2 linked regions of the Anolis sagrei genome follow. The protein of the gene in region 1 interacts with the protein of each later gene in a pairwise test. Links are inferred from orthologs where the notes say so. Each region holds a gene or a part of one and is shown in the gene's direction. Other genes may lie near its edges.

Evidence for each region.
Region 2: the proteins of CFAP206 (region 1) and SOX30 interact in binary tests that used the Homo sapiens proteins (3 or more experiments, as listed by UniProt). The two-hybrid records come from large-scale screens. The link is inferred for Anolis sagrei from reciprocal best matches to the Homo sapiens genes CFAP206 and SOX30.

What each region holds. Positions count from the first base shown.
Region 1 is NC_090021.1:106,150,974-106,154,890, reverse strand, and holds the start of CFAP206 (cilia- and flagella-associated protein 206), read left to right. Parts: upstream 1-1,285; 5' UTR 1,286-1,478; intron 1,479-3,243; 5' UTR 3,244-3,249; coding exon 3,250-3,357; intron 3,358-3,917. UniProt on the Homo sapiens protein: Essential for sperm motility and is involved in the regulation of the beating frequency of motile cilia on the epithelial cells of the respiratory tract. Required for the establishment of radial spokes in sperm flagella.
Region 2 is NC_090022.1:80,320,097-80,324,013, forward strand, and holds the start of SOX30 (transcription factor SOX-30), read left to right. Parts: upstream 1-803; 5' UTR 804-1,101; coding exon 1,102-1,954; intron 1,955-3,917. UniProt on the Homo sapiens protein: Acts both as a transcriptional activator and a repressor. Binds to the DNA sequence 5'-ACAAT-3' and shows a preference for guanine residues surrounding this core motif. Binds to its own promoter and activates its own transcription.

The sequences.
Region 1 (3,917 bases):
GCAGGCCTTCAAATGCTAATGAAGGTGATCAGCTGAAACATTCACACCTAACTGCAGCAGGGAAGAGCTCCTTGCCCCACCCCAGCCATTCCACAGATATATAAACCCATTGTCCTAATTCCAACAGACCTCACTACCTCTGAGGATGCTTGCCATAGATGCAGGCGAAACGTCAGGAGAAATGCCTCTGGAACATGGCTCTATAGCCCGAAAAAACCCACAAGAACCTAGAACCCAGTTTCTTGAAATTACAGTTCAAAAACCAAAGATATAGTTCTCTTCAGAAGACTACTTTTAAAAATTAATAACAACGTTAATAATAATAACTTTGTATTGTCATAGCTGAAATCACTGGTTTGTTGTAGGTTTTTGGGCTATATGGTCATGTTCTAGGGGCATCCTCTCCTGACGTTTTGCCTGCGTCTATGGCAGGCATCTTCAGAGGTTGTGAGGTCTCACTTCTGTGGGAAGGTAACGGTGCTCCATGCAGTCATGTTGGCCACATGACCTTGGAAGTGTCTACGGACAATGCCAGCTCTTCGGCTTAGACCCTACAACTTCTGATGATGCCTGCCACAGATGCAGGTGAAATGTCAGGAGAGAATGCTTCTAGAGAACATGGCCATATAGCCCCCAAACCTACAACAACCCAGTGATTCCAGCCATGAAAGCCTTCGACAATACAAAGTTGTTATTAACGTTGTTATTAATTTTTAAAAGTAGTCTTCTGAAGACAGCTATATCTTTGGTTTTTGAACTGTAATTTCAAGAAACCAGGTTCTGATGCTTAAGATAACTGGCTCTCAGGGCCTTTCCACAAAGCCATATAATTGAGAACATAGCAGAAAATCCCACAATATCTGCTTTGAACTGGATTATCTGAGTCCACACTGCCATATATTCCAGTTCAAAGCAGAACAATGTGGGATTTTATTCAGCTGTGTGGAAGGGGCCTCAATGTTTTGAAATATGTTGGTGAGGAGAAAAGTCTGAAGTCCAAATCCCTACTCCTCCACCATGGAGTGTCTTTGGACAAGTCACACACTCTCAGCTTTGAACCAGTCAGTTCTCAGTGCTTTTGAAACCTGTCGAGGCACTTAAAGAGGGAGGCATGACATCCCAAGGAAGGCCAAGTTCAGGTGTATTATTGCTCTCCAACCCAAAAACCTGTATGGTTTGAGGTTGGGAGAGTGTGTGTGTGTGTGCCTTGGGCGTTTTTCAGGCGGGGGGGGGGCGCTTGGAGGAGCGGCCGCCGTCTCCATGGCAACGCGGCCTTCCCGCGGAGAGCGACCAGGCCTTGCTTGAGAAGCGGGAGGCCAAGGAAGAAAGGAAGAGCTGGGGACTGCGGCGCAGGACAGAGCCAGTCAAACCCCGCTCACGCCTCAGGAGAGGCCGGGGGAGTCGTCGTTTGACAAGCGCAAGAGTAGTGGGGCTTCACTCAACCACATCTCCAGGACTCCACCGCATTGACCCGCGGAGTAAGGCAGTTCTCAGTTACATCAGGACCATCGTGTCTTTGGGTGCATCTACACCAGGCCCGGGCACACAACGGCCCTCCCTCCAGGTGTTTTGGACTCCAACTCCCGCAATTCCTAACAGTCTCAGGCCCTTTCCTTTTCTCTTTCCCCCGTAGCCGCTGTCAGGAATTGCGGGAGTTGAAGTCCAAAACACCTGGAGGGAGGGCCGAAGTTTGCCCAGGCCTAGTCTAGAAACTGGAGTATATGGCAGTGTAGATCCAGCCTATAATTCCCCTTCAAGTACCATGGAGTCACCCTGTTTGTAATTATTAGAGAACATAACTTATATTAGAGAATATAACCTTTCAGAGAAGAACCAAAAAACCCTTTAGAGCAGAACCTCCTCTTTTAGTATACAACCAAAGACAATTATACTAGGCCAGTGGTTCTCAATCTTCCTAATGCCGCAATCCCTTAATACAGTTCCTCATGTTGTAGTGACCCCCCAACCATAAAACTATTTTTACTGCTATTTCATAACTGTAATTTTGCTTCTGTTATGAATCGTAATGTAAATATCTGATACACAGGTTGTATTTTCATTCACTGGACCAAATTTGGCACAAATACCAATATGCCCAAATTTGAATACTGGTGGGGTTTGCGGAGAGGAGATTGATTTTGTCATTTGGGAGTTGTAGTTGCTAGGATTTATAGTTAACCTGCAATCAAAGAGCATTCTGAAGTCCACTAACGATGGAATTGAACCTAACTTGGCACACAGAAGTCCCATGACCAACAGAAAATCCTGGAAGGGTTTGGTGGGCATTGACCTTGAGTTTTGGAGTTGTAGTTCACCTTTATCCAGAGAGCACGGTGGACTCAAACAATGATGGATCTGGACCAAACTTGGCATGAGTACTCAATATGCCCAAATGTGAACACTGGTGGAGTTTGGGGAAAATAGACCTTGACATTTGGATGTTGCAGTTGCTGGGATTTATAGTGCACCTACAATCAAAGAGCATTCTGAACCCCACCAACGATAGAATTGGGCCAAACTTCACATACGTATCCTGGGCCCCCTGGTGGCACAGCAGTTTAACCGCTGAGCTGCTGAATTTGCTGACCGAAAGGTTGGCGGTTTGAATCCAGAGAGCAGGGTGAGCTCTTGCTGTTAGGCCCAACTTCTGTGATTAGCTCAATAGGTACAGCTTCATCGTTACGACTGCGGAAACGAGCACCACCCCTCAGAGTCAGACACGACTAGATTTAATGTCAGGGAAACCTTTACCTTTAGCTTTAGGCCATATCATCCAAATCAATCTTTCTCAGTTTGTTGGACTACAACTCTCGACATACCCGAGTTGAAGAAAACTAATCACATTGATTTAACTGCACTTAAGGTTTCTGATGGGAATTTTCTTGAGCCAGAACTATGTAAAAGTCCTGGAGATTGAACCTGAAACCTTCTTCATGTCATGCAGATGATCTAACATTGAGCTGTAGTCCTTTCCATTAAATTGTCAGAGCACAACTATAGTCATGTTCACTGGATAAGATGGATTTCATACATCAGACAAAAGCTGTTTAGGCAACCTTCTGCATCAACCTTGCAAACAGCCATAAATTATCTCTCCCTCCTGACTAGGTTTTACGTTTCTTTTTTGACAACTTAAAGGCTTATTTGGCTTTAAATGACTATGGAACCACAGTACTGTTGGTGAAAGCTAATGTGAAGAAAATTCAGATGTGTTTTTACAAATGTCCATCCTCCTTTTAATAGTGCAGAATGGCTCACGCTCAAGCAGAGAACGTCATCAAGAATATCATCCGTGAAATAGGACAAGAATGTGCCATGAAGGGACAAATCGTATCCGAAACTCTGGTGGCATTCATAGTAAGAGCAGTCCAGACACTACCTGTTGATATTGTGTAAATGCACGAGCTCTAGTATTTTGCTGCTCATGTTGGGAAGGGCATGCCTTTTTCATGTTTCCCCTGTTCATGTGGTGCTAATGTGGACAGTATTTTGGGGGTCTGGAGATAACAGTCACGGCTTTCCAAACAATCTGGGATTTTAAAAGAATCCAGAATTTAAGAGATCATCAAACTATACTGTTAAAGTGTTGTCATTCCAGTTTAACTGTTATTGCTGCCTCCTGGAGAATTCTGCGGTTTGTAGTTTAATGAGGCTCAGGAGCAGATTATTTAAAGGGCCTTCCCTAAACCACAAACCCCAGGATTCCATAGGAGACAAGCATAGCAGTTAAACTGGAATTACAGCGCTTTATAGTATTTTGTGATAATTTCCTGAGAGCAGGATAAAGCATAATACTGGATTTCTCCTGCATAGTACATCATAGTAGCCCCACTTTTCATAGTTTTGTTTTACAGTTTATTTTTGTATCAATGGAATTATATTTAATTACCCTTAAAAACTGAAGTCCTCACTACCTA
Region 2 (3,917 bases), on another chromosome or scaffold:
AAAGCAGATAATGTGGGATCTTTTGCCTTGATATTCTGGGATATAGGGCTGTGTGGAAAGGCAGCAGAAAACAAACCTGCTCCCTCCTCCCTGTGACTTCCTCTCACATATTTATTATACATGGCCATCATGTCTCCTCTCAGGCCCCTTCCATAGTTGAATAAAATTCCGCATTATTTGCGTTGAACTGGAATATATGGCAGGATGGGTTCAGATAACCCAGGGCTCTTACAGAATACCATGGCAGAAAATCCCACAATATCTGCTTTGAACTTGGTTATTTGAGTCCACACTCAGATCATGTAGGATTTTATGCCTTGATATTTTGGGATATATGGCTGTGTGGAAGGGGCCCCAGTTCAAAGCAGATAATGTGGGAATTTTCTGCCTTGATATTCTGGGTTATATGGCTGTGTGGACGGACCCCGAGCCTTCTCTTCTGCAGGCTAAACATTCCCTGCTCTTTAAACCGCTGCCGTTTAAGTACGCCCTTAATCTCCATATGAGGAGCAGCAAACAAGCATGCCCTCTCCTCAAGGAGAGATCTTTCCACATTTTAAGCATGGCTATCATGACTGGTCTTAACCGTTTCTTCTCCAGGGTAAACATACCAAGTTCCAGGCCCTGTATCGCTTTAATAGTCCTCCTTCGTCTGTCACGCAGAGGCTGGAGCGCCACGTGTGGGGAGTGCTTGGATGGGCGGAATGGGGTTGGGCTGGATGGCCCTCGGGGCCTCTTTCCCAGCGCCAGGATTCTGTGAAGGGAGAGGAAGGAGCGCGAGCGAACCTGGAAGGGGTCTTGGTCTCCATGGCGACCCGATTGTGACGCGGCGGGCGGCGTAACCATAGCGCCGGCTAGGCAACGGGTCCAAGGATGGAGGGAAGGAGGGAGGCGCGCCTGCACGTGGCCCCGCACCTTGGCAGCGCGAGGGTCCCGCGAGGCGGCGGTGGCGGCGGCGGCGCGTGGCCTTGGGGAGGGGCGGGGGAGGGTCCCGGAGCGGAGAACGTTGGCCCCCCCGCCAACCGCAGGAGACAAACGGGCGCCGGGTCACAGAGGCGGGCGGGCTGAGCTCACAATCCCGCAACAATCCCGCTGAGCGACATGGAGAAAGGGGCGCCGGAGGAAACCCCCCGGGAGGCGGCCCGGCTCCTGCTGCACCCGGCGGCCTGGCAAGGCGCCGCGCCCCGCCTGGACCGCCTCCTCCTGCAGCCTCTGCCCGGGCCGGCCAGCCGGGAGGCGCCCGCCCTGCTCCTCTTCCCCGCCAAGCCGCCCCCGCCGCCCCGGAAGGATGGCCAAGCCGGCGGAGGGCTCTCCCAAGGGCAGCAGGCCGGCCCTTCTTGCGAGGGGAAGGAGGCCAAGGGCCCGCAAGTCAAGGCAGAAGAGCAAGAGAGCCCCTCGCTCCTGGCGGCGGCAGCAGCAGCAGCAGGAGGAGGAGGGGGCGGCAGCACTGGCAGCAAGAAGAAAAGGGGGGAGCACAAGGCTGCCGCGGGTCGTCGGGGCGCCAAGGAGGAGACTAGCCCCAGCGTCAAAGCAGAGGAGGACCTCGCCCAGGAGGAGGCGGCGGCGGGAAGCTGCCAGGCCAGAGACCCGGGCATCAAGACAGAGCTGGAGGAGCCGCCCGAGGGAAGCCTCAAGGCCGAGGGGGAGGAAGGGCCCGAGCCTCGGCCGCCCTCCAATGGCCCCGCCGCGCCCCACAAGGAGGCTCGGCCCAGCCAGCCCCCGGGGGCGCCTCCTCCGCCGCCGCCGCCGCCGCCCGAGCTGAAGATCCCGCTGACGCTCCACCCGGTCCCGCCCGGGGCCAGGATCCAGTTCCAGGGCCCGCCGCCGCCTGAGCTCATTCGGGTCACCAAGGTGCCCGTCACCCAAGTGCCCCTCAAAATGCAGTCCCTGCTGGAGCCCTCCGTCAAAATTGAGACTAAAGATGTGCCTCTCACAGTGCTGCCCTCAGATGCAGGTAGTGGGCAGAGAGGGATGGAGAAAGAAAGGTTGCCCCACCTTGATACATTGATCATAATAAACTTGTTTATATCCTGCCACCATCTCCCCGAAGGGACTCTTACAAAGGGCCGCTTACAAGGCACTCCAGCGTGCACATAGGACATACAAGCGGTAAAAACAGTACAAAAGTATAAAACAAGTCACATAAAATTATAACAACCCCCCTCCTCAACACATGTAGCACAACATCAAAATACTACAATTTTAAAACAACAGTAGTTAAAACTAAGTGCCATCAATTCACAAGGTGTCAAGTATCACCTTGATCTTTAGGACTTATTGAACTGTGGGAGTCAAACCCTTCCAAGAGGCTCTCCAGATGCAGTCAGGCTGCAACTCCCACCAGGCTTAAGAAGCAATGCCAGGAGTGAGGAATGTAGGGAACTAAAGTCCAACATAGGCTTGAGCAGACTTTGACCCTCCAGGTGTTTTGGACGTAACTCCTACAATCCCTAACAGCCCACTGGCTGGAGGGCCAAAGTTAGCTCATGCTTGGTCCAACAACATCTAGGCCCCATCTACACTGTCAAACATGTTCAAAACACCAAGAACTATAGCAGCAAATATGGTATTTTGTCCATTTGGAAGAGCTGTTAAAGAAACAAATTTACAGAAAAGAATAACTTTTGATCTCAACAGTAACAATACTGCAATAGGAATGTGCTACTTTTTTTCTGACCAGAATTGGAATATTTATCTTCAGTTGCCAAGAAAAAAAAGATACAACAGGGCAGTTAAATTTGGAGGGGGGGGGGGGGAATAGTGATTTCATTTACGTTAGGTTGAGTGAGTAAATGTAACATTGTGCATAGTTAAAGAAGAAGTGTTATTATAGGGTCATATCTGCAGTCTATGTTGTGGAAAAGATGGATGAATTACTTCCTGCTATTATAAATAAAATTATACGTATTGTTGACAACACTGAGTAAGTGACTCAGTGGGTTGATCTGAAATTTGACATAGAAAACATACTATAAAATTCAGGATGGTCCTTCTGTGCATTGGAAATAAAATTGAGCATTGGAATGTGACTCTGGAGACCAGGGTTCAAATCTCTGCTTGGCCACAGAAACCCAGGGGTGATCTTGGACAGGTCACATTCACTCAGCTTCGGAGGAAGAGAGAAGTAACTCCCTTCTGAACAAATTCTGCCAACGAAAGCTCATGATAGAGTTGACATAAATCAGAAATAACCTGACACAGCAGCAACAACAGGCCTACAGGGACAGCCCGCATAGTGTAGTGATTTGGGTGTTGGTCTAGGACTCTGGCAACCGAAGCAGATGTCTAATTGGCTATGGAAACCCATTGAGTGATTTTGAGCAAGTCACATTCTTAGCCTGAGAAGAAAGCCATGGTCAAAGCCTTCAGGAGAAATCTTGCCAGGAAAAGCCCATGATAGGATTGACTTAGGGTTGCCATAAATCAGCAATTCTTATTTGAAGGGACAATGTGATATAGTAATAATACATCTCTGGGTAGAATTGAGGATCTTGGTTTACTATAAAATGAGTTCTCATGGATATGGAAGCAGTGTAACCAAAAAACATAACACAAGGTGGAGCTATGGCTTTTAAAATCAATAGCATCAGAACAAATTTAGCCTTAGCGAAGTCTCACAGTATAACCTTTCTCTCATACAAGCGGATGGTTGAATTTGTCTTCTAGGGGTAGGTGAGTTGTAAGATGGGGTCCTTGTTGGGTGGTGGAGAAAGGCTGCCATATATTCATCTACCTAGTATCTCATTTCTCATTGCCAGGAGATTACATCAGACACATGGTGTTTATCTAAGCACAGTGAAAATTAGTACTTTTAATCTCCAGTTATCAGCAACATGCAAAACTACACATAATATTCTGCTTACAATAATTATGAACATGTTCTTGTATATGTTTATGAAGTAGAAAGAAATCAGTAA